3 linked regions of the Arabidopsis thaliana genome follow. The protein of the gene in region 2 interacts with the protein of the main gene of each other region in a pairwise test. Each region holds a gene or a part of one and is shown on either strand. Other genes may lie near its edges.

Region 1 (3,144 bases), on a different chromosome or scaffold from region 2:
TGATCACGATAGCTCTCCTCCTTTGCGCCACCATGCTAACGTGCAGCGCCCGCCCTGAACCTGCCTACTTCGCCTCCTTCACAACCTCTCCGGCGGATACACTTAGTCTGGTTAGTATTATATGCGTAAACACATGTTGAATGTTGATTCATGCGTAGTTATATATTTTCGTTTGTAATTTTATGTTTCATTGTGTTTCATCAGGAAATGATAGAATCAAAATTACATGAGGTGGCGGGAGAGAGCTGCGATAAAGAAGACGACGAAGATTGCTTGGTGAGAAGAACATTGACGGCTCATCTTGATTATATCTACACACATAAGAATAATCATCATTAATTAGCTGTAAAATTATTCTAACGTTAATTGTTGTGAATTTCAAATTATTCTCACATGTTAAACATGTGTATATAGAATCATTGATTAATTCAATTTATTCTTTTAATGAAAATATCAAATTATTCCCAATGTAGTTAGAATCCTTAATCAATCCAATTATGTTTTATTTTAATCAAAAGTCTTAACTCCCACAAATTATGTGTGTGTTACAGATAAATGACATAACAAATTAATTCTAGAATGCGAGTCTGAAAAATATATGATTACATCTTTCTGGTTTATTAAAAACAAACTAAAAATAAATACAAGAATGTTAAGCATTTCAATCAAAAGAAGCATTTTGCAAGAGTAGAAGCTACCATCTGGAAATATTTGCAGGATTTTGGAATGAGAAATCTCCCCAAGATGATGATGGATCAAACGCAAATGACGAAGAACTCTGCTTTGCTGCATCATCCGAAGTCTTGAGCGGTTTAGCCTGCACAGTCTCGTGCTCAGGTGCACCGGTTAGCCTCTGAACCAACACTTTGAAGTTTACTGGCTCGACTCGGTAGACATGAGGATGCATTGGATTCAAAGGTGATGATATTGCAGGCCTCTTCAAGGGCTTTGAAGGTTGTTTACGTGTCGAATGGAGCGAAGTTAGGTAATTTTTCGTTGCCCTTGTGGTGGTTTCTTGAGCGTTAAGGTAACTCTGAGACATAAATTGTTGTGATGTTGCTTCCATTGAGACTTGAGATGTCGCTTAAAATTCTTTGAATGTGAAAGTTATGTTCTTCTGATATTTATTGATCTTTGAATGTGAAAGTTATGTTCTTCTGATATATAATGATGGATGTGCAACATGTTCAACGAGGGTCAAGCCTTTGGTTTTTGACTCTTATTAGGGAATTGACTATTGAGAACATTGTTTGTTTTTCTTAGTTTTGTTTATGAGAATCATAAGTGAAAGGGGAATTTTCAACGTGTGTGTTCTTAATATTTTATTGATTTGATAGTTTTCGAAGTTTCTGATTAGGATTAAACTATTAAGAGGAAGATTCTTTAATCAAACTGAATTAATACTTTATCAAATATTATAATAAAGAAAGCTGTGGCTGTCCACGTGACGGTTTGATATTATCTGTAATGGTAAGAAGATTAAGTACTTATCAATAGCCTTCGGATTTGAATCTAATCGGATTCCTTGATCTTTTTATTTTATTTACTTTTATAACAAGTAATCTATTAGCCGTAACAAAAAAACAAACTAATCTATTATTTTGATTTCTAGTAATACAGTGCGCATAAGAGTCACGTCAGTCGGAACGTTAGAGAAAAAGGTAAATTTGAACGTTACATAACGGTAACTCTTTTGGTTTATTTCTTTAACTACGATGCTCTAGATATCTTTCAGATTTAAAACATTTGAGATATATATATATTTGGAAGAGGTCACATAAGATGATAATAACAAAGAAGCTTAACCTCTGTTCTCGTGGTTATTTGATTTGGTAGATTAGTCTTAAAATTGTCTTGAAATGGAAAATAAATTAGGCAGTCTTGAAAGAATCTACTTGAATTTAATTGTTCATATTGATATATAGGAAAAATAACAATCCTAGTTCTGTTTTATTAAGAAGATTAGTTTCTTTGAAAAACTAAAATATATGTCTGAAATGGATATTTGGGCATAAAGGTTTTTATTTTATTTTTAGATTAGTATATGATACTTGCATGATTATGTTGCACATAGTTTTCTGAAATTCAGAAGGCGTTGTAATGAAAATTTTGATTTGATTTTTGCAGGTTTTTTAGAAGAGCATAAACTCAACCGGAGTATGTAAAGAAAACGCCTTGATGATGAAAGTGATGATGTGCAGATGGAGTAGTGATGGAAGGAGAATGTCATAGAAGAGAGAAATCTAAATGCATCATTGGGATTGTGCCGTGCCATACTTTGATTGAGTGTGGAATGTGTATATATCAGATGTGTGACGAATGCTTGTAAAATATATTGATTCAAACTATATATCAAACTCAAGAATAAGAACAAGATTATGAATAAAAGACTCTCTCTTTTATTGCTTTAAGAAAATAACTCAAAACCTAAAAACACACAATCTTAATCTCTCAACTCATAAGTTTTGCAACACTCTTGCAACTCCTTTATATAAGAAAAGAACTAGACAATTTCCTAATCCTATTAGGAAAACACACATAAGTATTTAGGCAACTTCCTAAACACAAAGTCTAATTTTAATTTCCTTTTTGCTTGATTGCTTCTTCTTCAAGTAAGCTTCAAGCTTACTCCAACATTTTCCCCCTTAAGCTTGAAGCTACACTTTGTCATATCTTGAACTCCCACAAGATCTCTCATCTCTTTGAACTTGATTCTCCCGAGTGCCTTTGTTAGAATGTCGGCTCTCTGTTCGGTTCCGGGGACGTGCTCCACCTCAACTTGTTCATTCGCAACGCACTCACGAATAAAGTGATACCTCTTGTGAATGTGTTTGCTTCGTCCATGGAAAACCGGGTTTTTCGTGAGTGCTATAGCCGACTTGTTGTCAATTAATATCAACACTTGCTTACACGTTTTTCCAACAATCTCTTCAAGTAACTCTTGAAGCCAAACCGCTTGTTTTGCTGCCTCTGTAGCCGCCATAAACTCAGCTTCACAAGACGATAGAGCCACAGTTTCTTGCTTTTGCGAGCACCAAGTGATAGGACAGTCATTAAGATAGAAAATATGACCCGTCGTACTTCTTCCATCATCCTCATCAACATTGTGACTGCTATCACTAAATCCTACTAGCTCTGTTTTAT
Region 2 (4,078 bases):
CCACTTGTGTTTCTGTGCATCCTCCAAACCCCAAAATGTAATACCATTTTTCACGTAATCATTATGAACTAAGGTTAATCATTTCATTTTAAAGTAGATAGTATATATGCGGAATAATATGTGTAAAACAGATTTGATGTATTAAATCGTTCATATTTTGCGAGGACATAATCTTGGTCAGATACTCAGATCAAACATGCTATTGCTTTAATCAAACAAAGGGCTTTGGCAACCCATAAAAAAAAAGCTTTTGAGATCCATAATATGACCCCAAACATTTTCTAAATTCAAAACTGGTCCAGTAAATGCCTAAATGTGATCGTGTTTTTTGTTCTTTTTTAAATAGAAGAAGGTTCGGGGTCAAATCTCGTAATCCACTCAAACCCGAAATCACAACATTTATTATTAGTTTTGTTCCAAGCATCATTCAAACCAACAACTTCTAACCTTTGCTTAAAACCTTTTTACCAGAGCTAACTACACTTGGTTTAAATGTGATCGTTCACCTAAAAAAAAAACAAATAATCCACGAGAGAGGGACAATTAGACGAATCAAATTAAAGCAAACATAGATCAATGTCTCAATAAACCTAAAGCATGTATGTTATGAGATTTATTCTATACATTTGTCTCTTTGGAGATTGAGGGTCAATGGAGAGATTAAAGCATAATTAATGTATTACACCACTAATTAACATTCAATAATTACAGATCAGAAACTCTTGAGAGGAACTGAAGTTGCCTAAGGAGAGGGCTAAGAGTCTCCATGAGCTTCTCACAAGGATGATTATGAACACCTTCGTAGGTTGTTACGACAACGTTTGGATCTTTTGCCAGTCTTTGCACTTGTTTCTTCACGTTGCATGTGTGGTATGTACATCTATAATAGCTCCTGCAAATATTATTTTGTATAAAAATGTGAATAGTAAATTAATCCATATAGGTGATGTATGTGTGTTATCGATGTTAAGTTTTTTGGTATAGATCTTATGGAACAAAGTTCATATTAATCACGACTTCACGAGGTATAATTGGTAATAATTTCAGATAATAGAGATTGTAATTTAAGGTATTGATTAAGTAAGTACATGCATTTTGAAAATTTACAACTAATTTTTTAAGTAAAATTTGGGTTTATTAGTTTGGTTCTACGAAAACATCATCCAATGTAAACTATATATACATATGGGCTGGACGAACAGCAACAACCAAACCATATTCGTTTCATTATCACCTATGGATTCATCGATATATGATTTATTCGACTAAAACCAAACCAAAATATGTTGTCATAGCAACAACAGTCAAGCGAGCAAGATTTCATCTGTTATCGTTTCCTAGCAACAACGAAATAAAAGGCCCAAATTGTTCTTTTTAGGTTGTAAATGTGATATATTGATCAAAATTTGGGGGTACATCAATGTTACTTAAAAACACAATATTTTTGGTTATATATACCAATTATATTTTGGATTATATAAGTCAGGGATTGGTTTGGATAAACCACAAAATGAACACCCCCAATTCCAAGAAACAAGCAATAATGTAATGCAACCGGACTAATAACCTAAATTGATGACTTTGGTCGTTTAGGTTGTTAAACTAATGTTTCCAAAATATACACGTGACCAAGGATGTGTGTGTATGTTATAGATATGCTTAGGTCAATTTCGATATCTACTTTAACGTTGTCATATATATTTTTAAACACACTAGTAAATGTATGGGACGCAATAAAATAAAATTAAAAGAACCTGGGATGAGCATTGTTCTTGACAGATTTCTGACCGTACTTTCGCCAACGATAACCATCATCAAGAACATCATCATCACTCCTTGTATGAAAAGCTATCCTCTGCATTGCCAAAGTTCTCTTCCCTTTTCCTTTGTTGCAATTCTTATTATGATCACTATTATTGCTATTATTACTCACTAATCCTCCCATCTCTCCTCCACCTCCTCGAAAGTTCTCCAGCTGAGCAGATAGATGATAACCTGCTGGAGTACAAGAAGAAGAAGATGGACCTACATCGCCCGAAAAGATTAACGAAGGAGCCATCATCATTAATGTTTTGTCATCTAAGGAAGAAAAAGGATTGTTGTTTTCGCCTTCTTCTAGGGTTAACATAGGATTTGTGTTGTCAACCCCTTCCATTGATTATGAAGCTTTCACTATCTTGCTAGATCTCTCTCTCTCTCTCTTACTATATATATGTGTGTGTTTATGTAAATATATGTTTGCATAAGAGGAAGAAGGAGAAGAGGAGAAGAAAGGTTATAAGGATATTTGTAGGAAAGAAAGAAGAAGAATGAGTTAAAGGGTATAATATTGAAGCCAACTATATTCACCTAACTTTTCTGTTCAACTGCCTAAGTCTTTCCTCCTTTTCCTAGCTATATATCTCTTTACAACGTTTTTGGATCTATATATTATATAGAATCATATATTAATATATATCCAAAAATGCATGTACATGTCAAATGTACTTCAACCCATATTTTGAAATCTAAATAGTAAATATTAATCTTTAAAAAAACAAAAATTGACATCGATGGTATATATATTGAGTGGTCTTATACATTTTGAGAATAGTTTGTAGAATAAATTGATTAGCTTATTTAAATTTATATATTTCGGCACCAATTCGTAATATGTATTGATGTTTTTAGAATATGTAAATTGTAACGATTGTTTTAACTTCATGTGGAAAAACTACTCACATGTTTCATATAAACCGATCAAAATCTAGTTATATTTATGGTCAAAGTTCTTGTTGATGTTTTCCCATGACAAAGGGAATGTTCGGTAAAGGCTTAACTTGCTTATAAATTTACATGTAACAAGTAGTAATTAATTTGCTTTTATTTGCATTTCAAACGTGTGGTTAAATATAGTGTACCAACTCCATACACACACTCGTGAGCCTGAAATGCACGTCTGGTCGGTTTGAGAACTAGCTAAAATTTAGAGATTGTTTTAGATCACTAAATTTATATCATCCTTGTCGTTGTTTATAGATATTTATATGCACAATAATGGATTAATAATATTCACATTTTGTCAAAAAAAAATATAAAAAAAAATAATTTATATAACGAATTAATACGATAAGATTTTTTTTTCTCGATACCATAAGAATTCTGCGTATTTGTTCCATTGTCCAATGATATTTCCACCACGTAATATGGACTATATATAGTGGTTAATTTGAACATATCATTGATCTTTTAACTCTAAGTATGAGACATTTATATGATTAAAGTGGGATATTTTTATGAATTTCGCATCCCCCTTCATTTCGTTTTCGCAAAGTTTCATTTTGAAATTTCGTTCGTCCAACCATACATCCCCTACTAAGTTATACTACCGATAATGAAACTTATAGAAATCATGAAGTCGCGTAAAATGTTGGGCATTAAATACGGATAAATGGACTTAAGCAAATTATTGTGGTTGTGGTTGTTAAGAATCTCTTTGACCGCTCGAATAATTATACATCCAAATGTAATTAACCTATGCAAACTCATGCATGCACGTGGAAGCTTCTCATTCTCATAAACCATAAAATTATGTACAAATGTAAATCAAATGTTAGTGGATCCATTTTCTTAAAATATATTTTTTCTTTTATAATTTTTATTTAGTTGATGTTTTAAGAGAATACACACTTAATAAATTATTTAATTTTTGTTTACTTTAAACTAAAATATCATTTATTATTTAATAAACCAATAGAAAAATTATCTGTGGAATAAAAATCATCAAAACCAATGAAAATATAATAAATTTTGCATTAAAATTTTAAAATATCATATATTTAAAAACAAAAATAAAAGCTTAGAACATCACTTATAAAAAACAAAGAGAGTATATAAAATTGAACTTTCCGATTCAACTTATTGTGTAAATTAAATATCTACAAAAATCAATTGATTACCACATTGAAATATAGTTATTGATAGCTTAAAACTATACAACCGCAAAACAATTACAATTTTGGCTTGTAGTTAGGCTAAATTTTTGGCTTATATATAAAATTAAAAAATAAAATAAAATATATGACACAATTAGTTCCAC
Region 3 (4,271 bases), on a different chromosome or scaffold from region 2:
TATGCTTGTGCTGTAGATCTAATTGCTCGAGGGGGTCGACTTGATGATGCATATTCTTTTGTCACACAGATGCCAGTTGAACCTAATGCAAATATATGGGGAACACTGTTAAGGGCGTGTACAACCTATAATAGGATGGATCTGGGGCACTCAGTTGCAAATCATCTCTTGCAAGCTGAATCTGACGACACCGGAAACCACGTTCTAATATCGAATATGTATGCTGCAGATGCTAAATGGGAAGGCGTGATGGAGTTGAGAAACCTAATGAAGAAAAAGGAAATGAAAAAGCCAGCGGGATGTAGCTGGCTAGAAGTGGATGGGCAAAGGAATGTCTTTGTGTCTGGAGATTGTTCTCACCCTCGTAGAGACAGTATTTTTGACTTAGTAAATGCTTTATATCTTCAGATGAAAGAGCCTGTGGTGTTTTAATCGATGAAAATTGTTAAAACGCTGCGAAGCTAGATCATGATGGTCTACACAAAGCAATTGCACATATGACACAGACAAATCTTGAGTGAACAATGTAAGAGAACAATCTTCCTCTTCCAATGATATTGTTGTGAAACTCTACATGTACATAATCTTTGGGATAGTAGGCAGAGAACAAACTTATGATTAATCTGTCGGGTTTATGGTTTGCCACTCGAATTGGGAGATGTTAAAGGAAACAAAGTAAGCAATTCTGGTTCTGTATACCCCGGTTTAGACCTTGGCGATGGATGCAAGTAAAAGCGTCTTTCTTTAATGGCTTTCTCCTCTTCTTCGATGTTTGTTGTACAACTATCTGGTTCCCCTTCTATCAAGGACAAGTTAGAGAACAATGAAGAAGGGGTGCCCACTGGACTTGTTAAAAGGTTGGTATTACCAGATTTAGATGATGGTGTCGTACCAGTGGGCTTAAAGCTCAGAGGAGGTTTGACAATTTCAAGCTTTGGCCTCATACATTGCCTTCTCTCATGGAGCTTTGAAGTTGGCCTCTTTTGTATGGCGGTTTTTATCACTGTTGCTTCTGGTGTTGCTGCTGCAGCGTTGTTCTCTGTTGGACCTGTCAAGCGCTGCACAATTTCTCTGAAAGTGTTGGTGTCAGTTTGGACAAATGTAGTGACAGGCTTGCAGGTTGTTGCAACGTTTTGACTCCCTTTGCTATTCATATGTAAGTGTTTCTCTGACAAAACAACCTTTGATTTACACCTATTTTGGTCTCTGACCTGCAACAAAACTACCGTTTATGCAGTTGATGAGAAGATGAAAAAATATTCAAACATGAAAGGTCCTATCAAGAGAACCGAGGAATGTCAACTTCATGTGAGTTCAGAGATTAGATTGATGGAAGGTTAGAAATACTCAGAAGTCTTCTTGTAATCCAAAATTAGGTATTTGTTAAAGATTTCCTTCGTCATAATTTTTCAAAAACAAGCAACTCAAAACATAAATAGCTACAGATACAAAAGATGAGGTAGTCGTGTACTCAAACCTCACCACTTTTACAAGAGCACTAGATTCTTATGTGGGGAAAAATAATAAAAAATTGGCTTCTCCTAAATTTGCTTTGACTTGTTGTATACTCAAATATCTATATCAAAGTTTGGTGCTCTTACTAATTGTAGGAATGACAATGAAGAGGGCTTTTCATGTCCTAAATCTATCTTCATCGTCATAATCATCATCTTTATGGTGGTTACTAGTTCATATGATGAGAGAACTGTTAATAAAAGTTTCTATGTAGCATTCAATTTACGATTTGATAACCCTACAGGAGTCAGAGAGAATGATAAAAAGGTCAAAAGGCATACCTGAAGAGCAAGCCGAGGCAACAAGTGGAGGTAAAATCGAATGAGAATGCCGGATTTTTTTCTGAAGAAATAGAACTTAAAACAGAAGAAGGAAATAAAAAGAGAGAGAAAGAACTAAAAGAAGATATAAAGACTGTTGTTGGTCTAATGGTCACAGCTCAGAACTTGTTCATATTACCAGAAAAGAGAAGAAAATGAAAAGAGGAAAATCAGGAGAAGAATATGGAGAGGAAAGAGGAAAAGGACTCTTTTATCCCTTTGTTCTTAACCGTTTTTGGGTTTGGGTTTTTGTCACACAAAAAAGATAATAAATTATTTTGTTTATAGAACTAAGTTTGTTTGGTCAAACATCAAAATGACATAATTTGTGATGAGTTTATTTCATTGTTGTCGTGAAGGAATGGAGAAAGGAAGTTAAAGAAGGAAGAAATGCATGCCGTTTCGGTTAAGGAGATGGGTAGAGAGAGACGTCACAGCAACCTCTCTCCCCCGCCCAATTTATAAACCAATCGTTTTTTTTTTTTTGGCTGTCTCTGTTGAATGTGATGAGATATTATTAACTGTACTCATGACAGTTTCTTAACTGACTCTATTCGTCCTCTGTGGATAATTTTGTTGACTCATTTCAAGTTATGGCCATAACAATTAACAACATTATTCACTGGCATTGTCAAAGATAGGAGGCAACAACCTTTACCTGTGAGTTACGAATACGTTGTCGTTTCTTTTCCTTTTTTGCTTTGGACTGATAAATTTTGTTGCACGATAATAGTTGACTCTTTTCTATGCGTTTTTATTTCATTTCATACACAAAATTACGGAACTTGAATACCATTTTTATCTTGTTTTGACCAAAAATATTACAGCTTTTAAAATTCTAAAATTGCCAAAAGAAATGTATTAATCTTATTACTGTAGAGATGTCTATAGTCGTTTGAATCTTGTAGAACTTACCATGTGTCTCTCTAGTATCTAACTATCTTTATTCCAAACTTCAACCACTTTTACTCTAATGCTAACAACTGGGCATATCTATCATAAAGCAAATTTTACAACATGATGTGATTTCTACAATGTAACCATTCCTTTTTGTGTCTTTGTAATACCTTTGATTATGCTAAGGTTGCTCTTTTGCCCTTTGCTTCTCTTGACTACAAGCAAAATAAGATTTTGATGTTGTTAGTAATCAACAACTGGGTTTGTATAAAAGGGAAGAGGAATTAGAGTGGAGATGAGAGAGATACCGATTTTCTTGAATCCAGAAACTGGCTATATATGTCATAGAGCTTTTGTTTCTCGGTTTCGGAAACCGATGGTTTAGTTTTAGAAGCAATCGACTTCAGAAGAGGATCAGTTATTATTGGTGTAGTTCCGGTCTCGGGTTTATCTTCTCTGTTCAGATACTCGTGTACAGCTGCAAGTTGCGCATCTGAGAGAAGAGCTTGAAGATCAGCTCCACTGAAGCCTTCAGTCATCAAAGCTATAGGCTCTAGGTCAATATCATCAGCCATCAGAAGCTGTAAAAATGCAGAAAGATTTTTTGTCATCTTAACTACTTGTAATATATATAGATAAATCTTATCTACATATTGTCTAGGGAGACCATCAATTGAATGTCAGAATCCAATGGAAATCGCTTAGCCATAGAAGATTCTAGTTAATGGTCGTTCAGATATGTAGCATACATACTTTACATGAGACTTGAGGACAAAAATGATTAGCAGAAATGATGTAACTGAGAGTACTAACCTTTCTAGAAAGAACTGTAAGAATCTCTAATCGTTCTGGTGGGGAAGGAAAGTCGCACAAAAGAAGACGATCAAGCCGGCCAGGCCTTAGGAGGGCAGGATCAAGTAAATCTGGTCTACTGTTAATTGAGTCATGTATCCATTATAAAGTCATTATCCCTCTTTTGTATGTAATGAAAAACATAAATTGAGGACTGAGCACAGGCTTCAAGATTATCATATTTAAGATTTATTATTAACTATCAACTCAGAAGAATCCACCGTTTGCAGTTGATTATATGATACATCGAACACAAAATATGATATGCAAGATAGACTTATTCGGGTGTGAATACCTGGTTGCAGCAAATACAAAGACCCCTGTTAGAACTTCAACTCCATCCAGTTCTGTCAAAAACTACGCAAAAGAAAAATATGACATGAGATGTTTGAACTTTGACTTGGATAGAATTTGCTCAGACTTTGAAGTAACTTACTTGATTAACAACTCGATCAGTTACACCAGTATTATCATGTCCTCTTTTGGGAGCAATTGAATCGAATTCATCGAAAAAGAGTATGCATGGAGCTGCAGCTGCTGCTTTCGAAAATATATCACGGACCTGAGAGAAGTGTGTTTTCCATTATTGTATATGCGGAACCATTAGGATAACATTTTCAGATTTTTATGTAAAGAGACTAGCAGGAATAACAATTAAAAAGGAACAAAGCTGTCTGAAAACTTTTC

Evidence for each region. Proteins that work in one complex are often made in the same cells at the same time.
Region 1: the proteins of WRKY56 (region 2) and AT4G37710 interact in binary tests that used the Arabidopsis thaliana proteins (3 or more experiments, as listed by UniProt).
Region 3: the proteins of WRKY56 (region 2) and AT5G08480 interact in binary tests that used the Arabidopsis thaliana proteins (3 or more experiments, as listed by UniProt).

The regions. Positions count from the first base shown.
Region 1 is NC_003075.7:17,716,156-17,719,299, reverse strand, and holds AT4G37710 (VQ motif-containing protein), read right to left. Parts: upstream 1,173-3,144; 5' UTR 1,067-1,172; coding exon 695-1,066; 3' UTR 529-694; downstream 1-528. Other genes in the region: PSK6 (phytosulfokine 6 precursor), read left to right, coding at 1-110, 205-339. UniProt on the Arabidopsis thaliana protein: May function as negative regulator of flowering transition.
Region 2 is NC_003070.9:23,745,511-23,749,588, reverse strand, and holds WRKY56 (WRKY DNA-binding protein 56), read right to left. Parts: upstream 2,286-4,078; 5' UTR 2,156-2,285; coding exon 1,755-2,155; intron 893-1,754; coding exon 706-892; 3' UTR 536-705; downstream 1-535. UniProt on the Arabidopsis thaliana protein: Transcription factor. Interacts specifically with the W box (5'-(T)TGAC[CT]-3'), a frequently occurring elicitor-responsive cis-acting element.
Region 3 is NC_003076.8:2,741,369-2,745,639, reverse strand, and holds AT5G08480 (VQ motif-containing protein), read right to left. Parts: upstream 2,322-4,271; 5' UTR 1,797-2,321; exon of another isoform or gene 1,223-1,796; 5' UTR 1,155-1,222; coding exon 633-1,154; 3' UTR 529-632; downstream 1-528. Other genes in the region: SLG1 (Tetratricopeptide repeat (TPR)-like superfamily protein), read left to right, coding at 1-432; PEX1 (peroxisome 1), read right to left, coding at 2,909-2,947, 3,041-3,313, 3,546-3,663, 3,880-3,941, 4,021-4,146. UniProt on the Arabidopsis thaliana protein: May modulate WRKY transcription factor activities.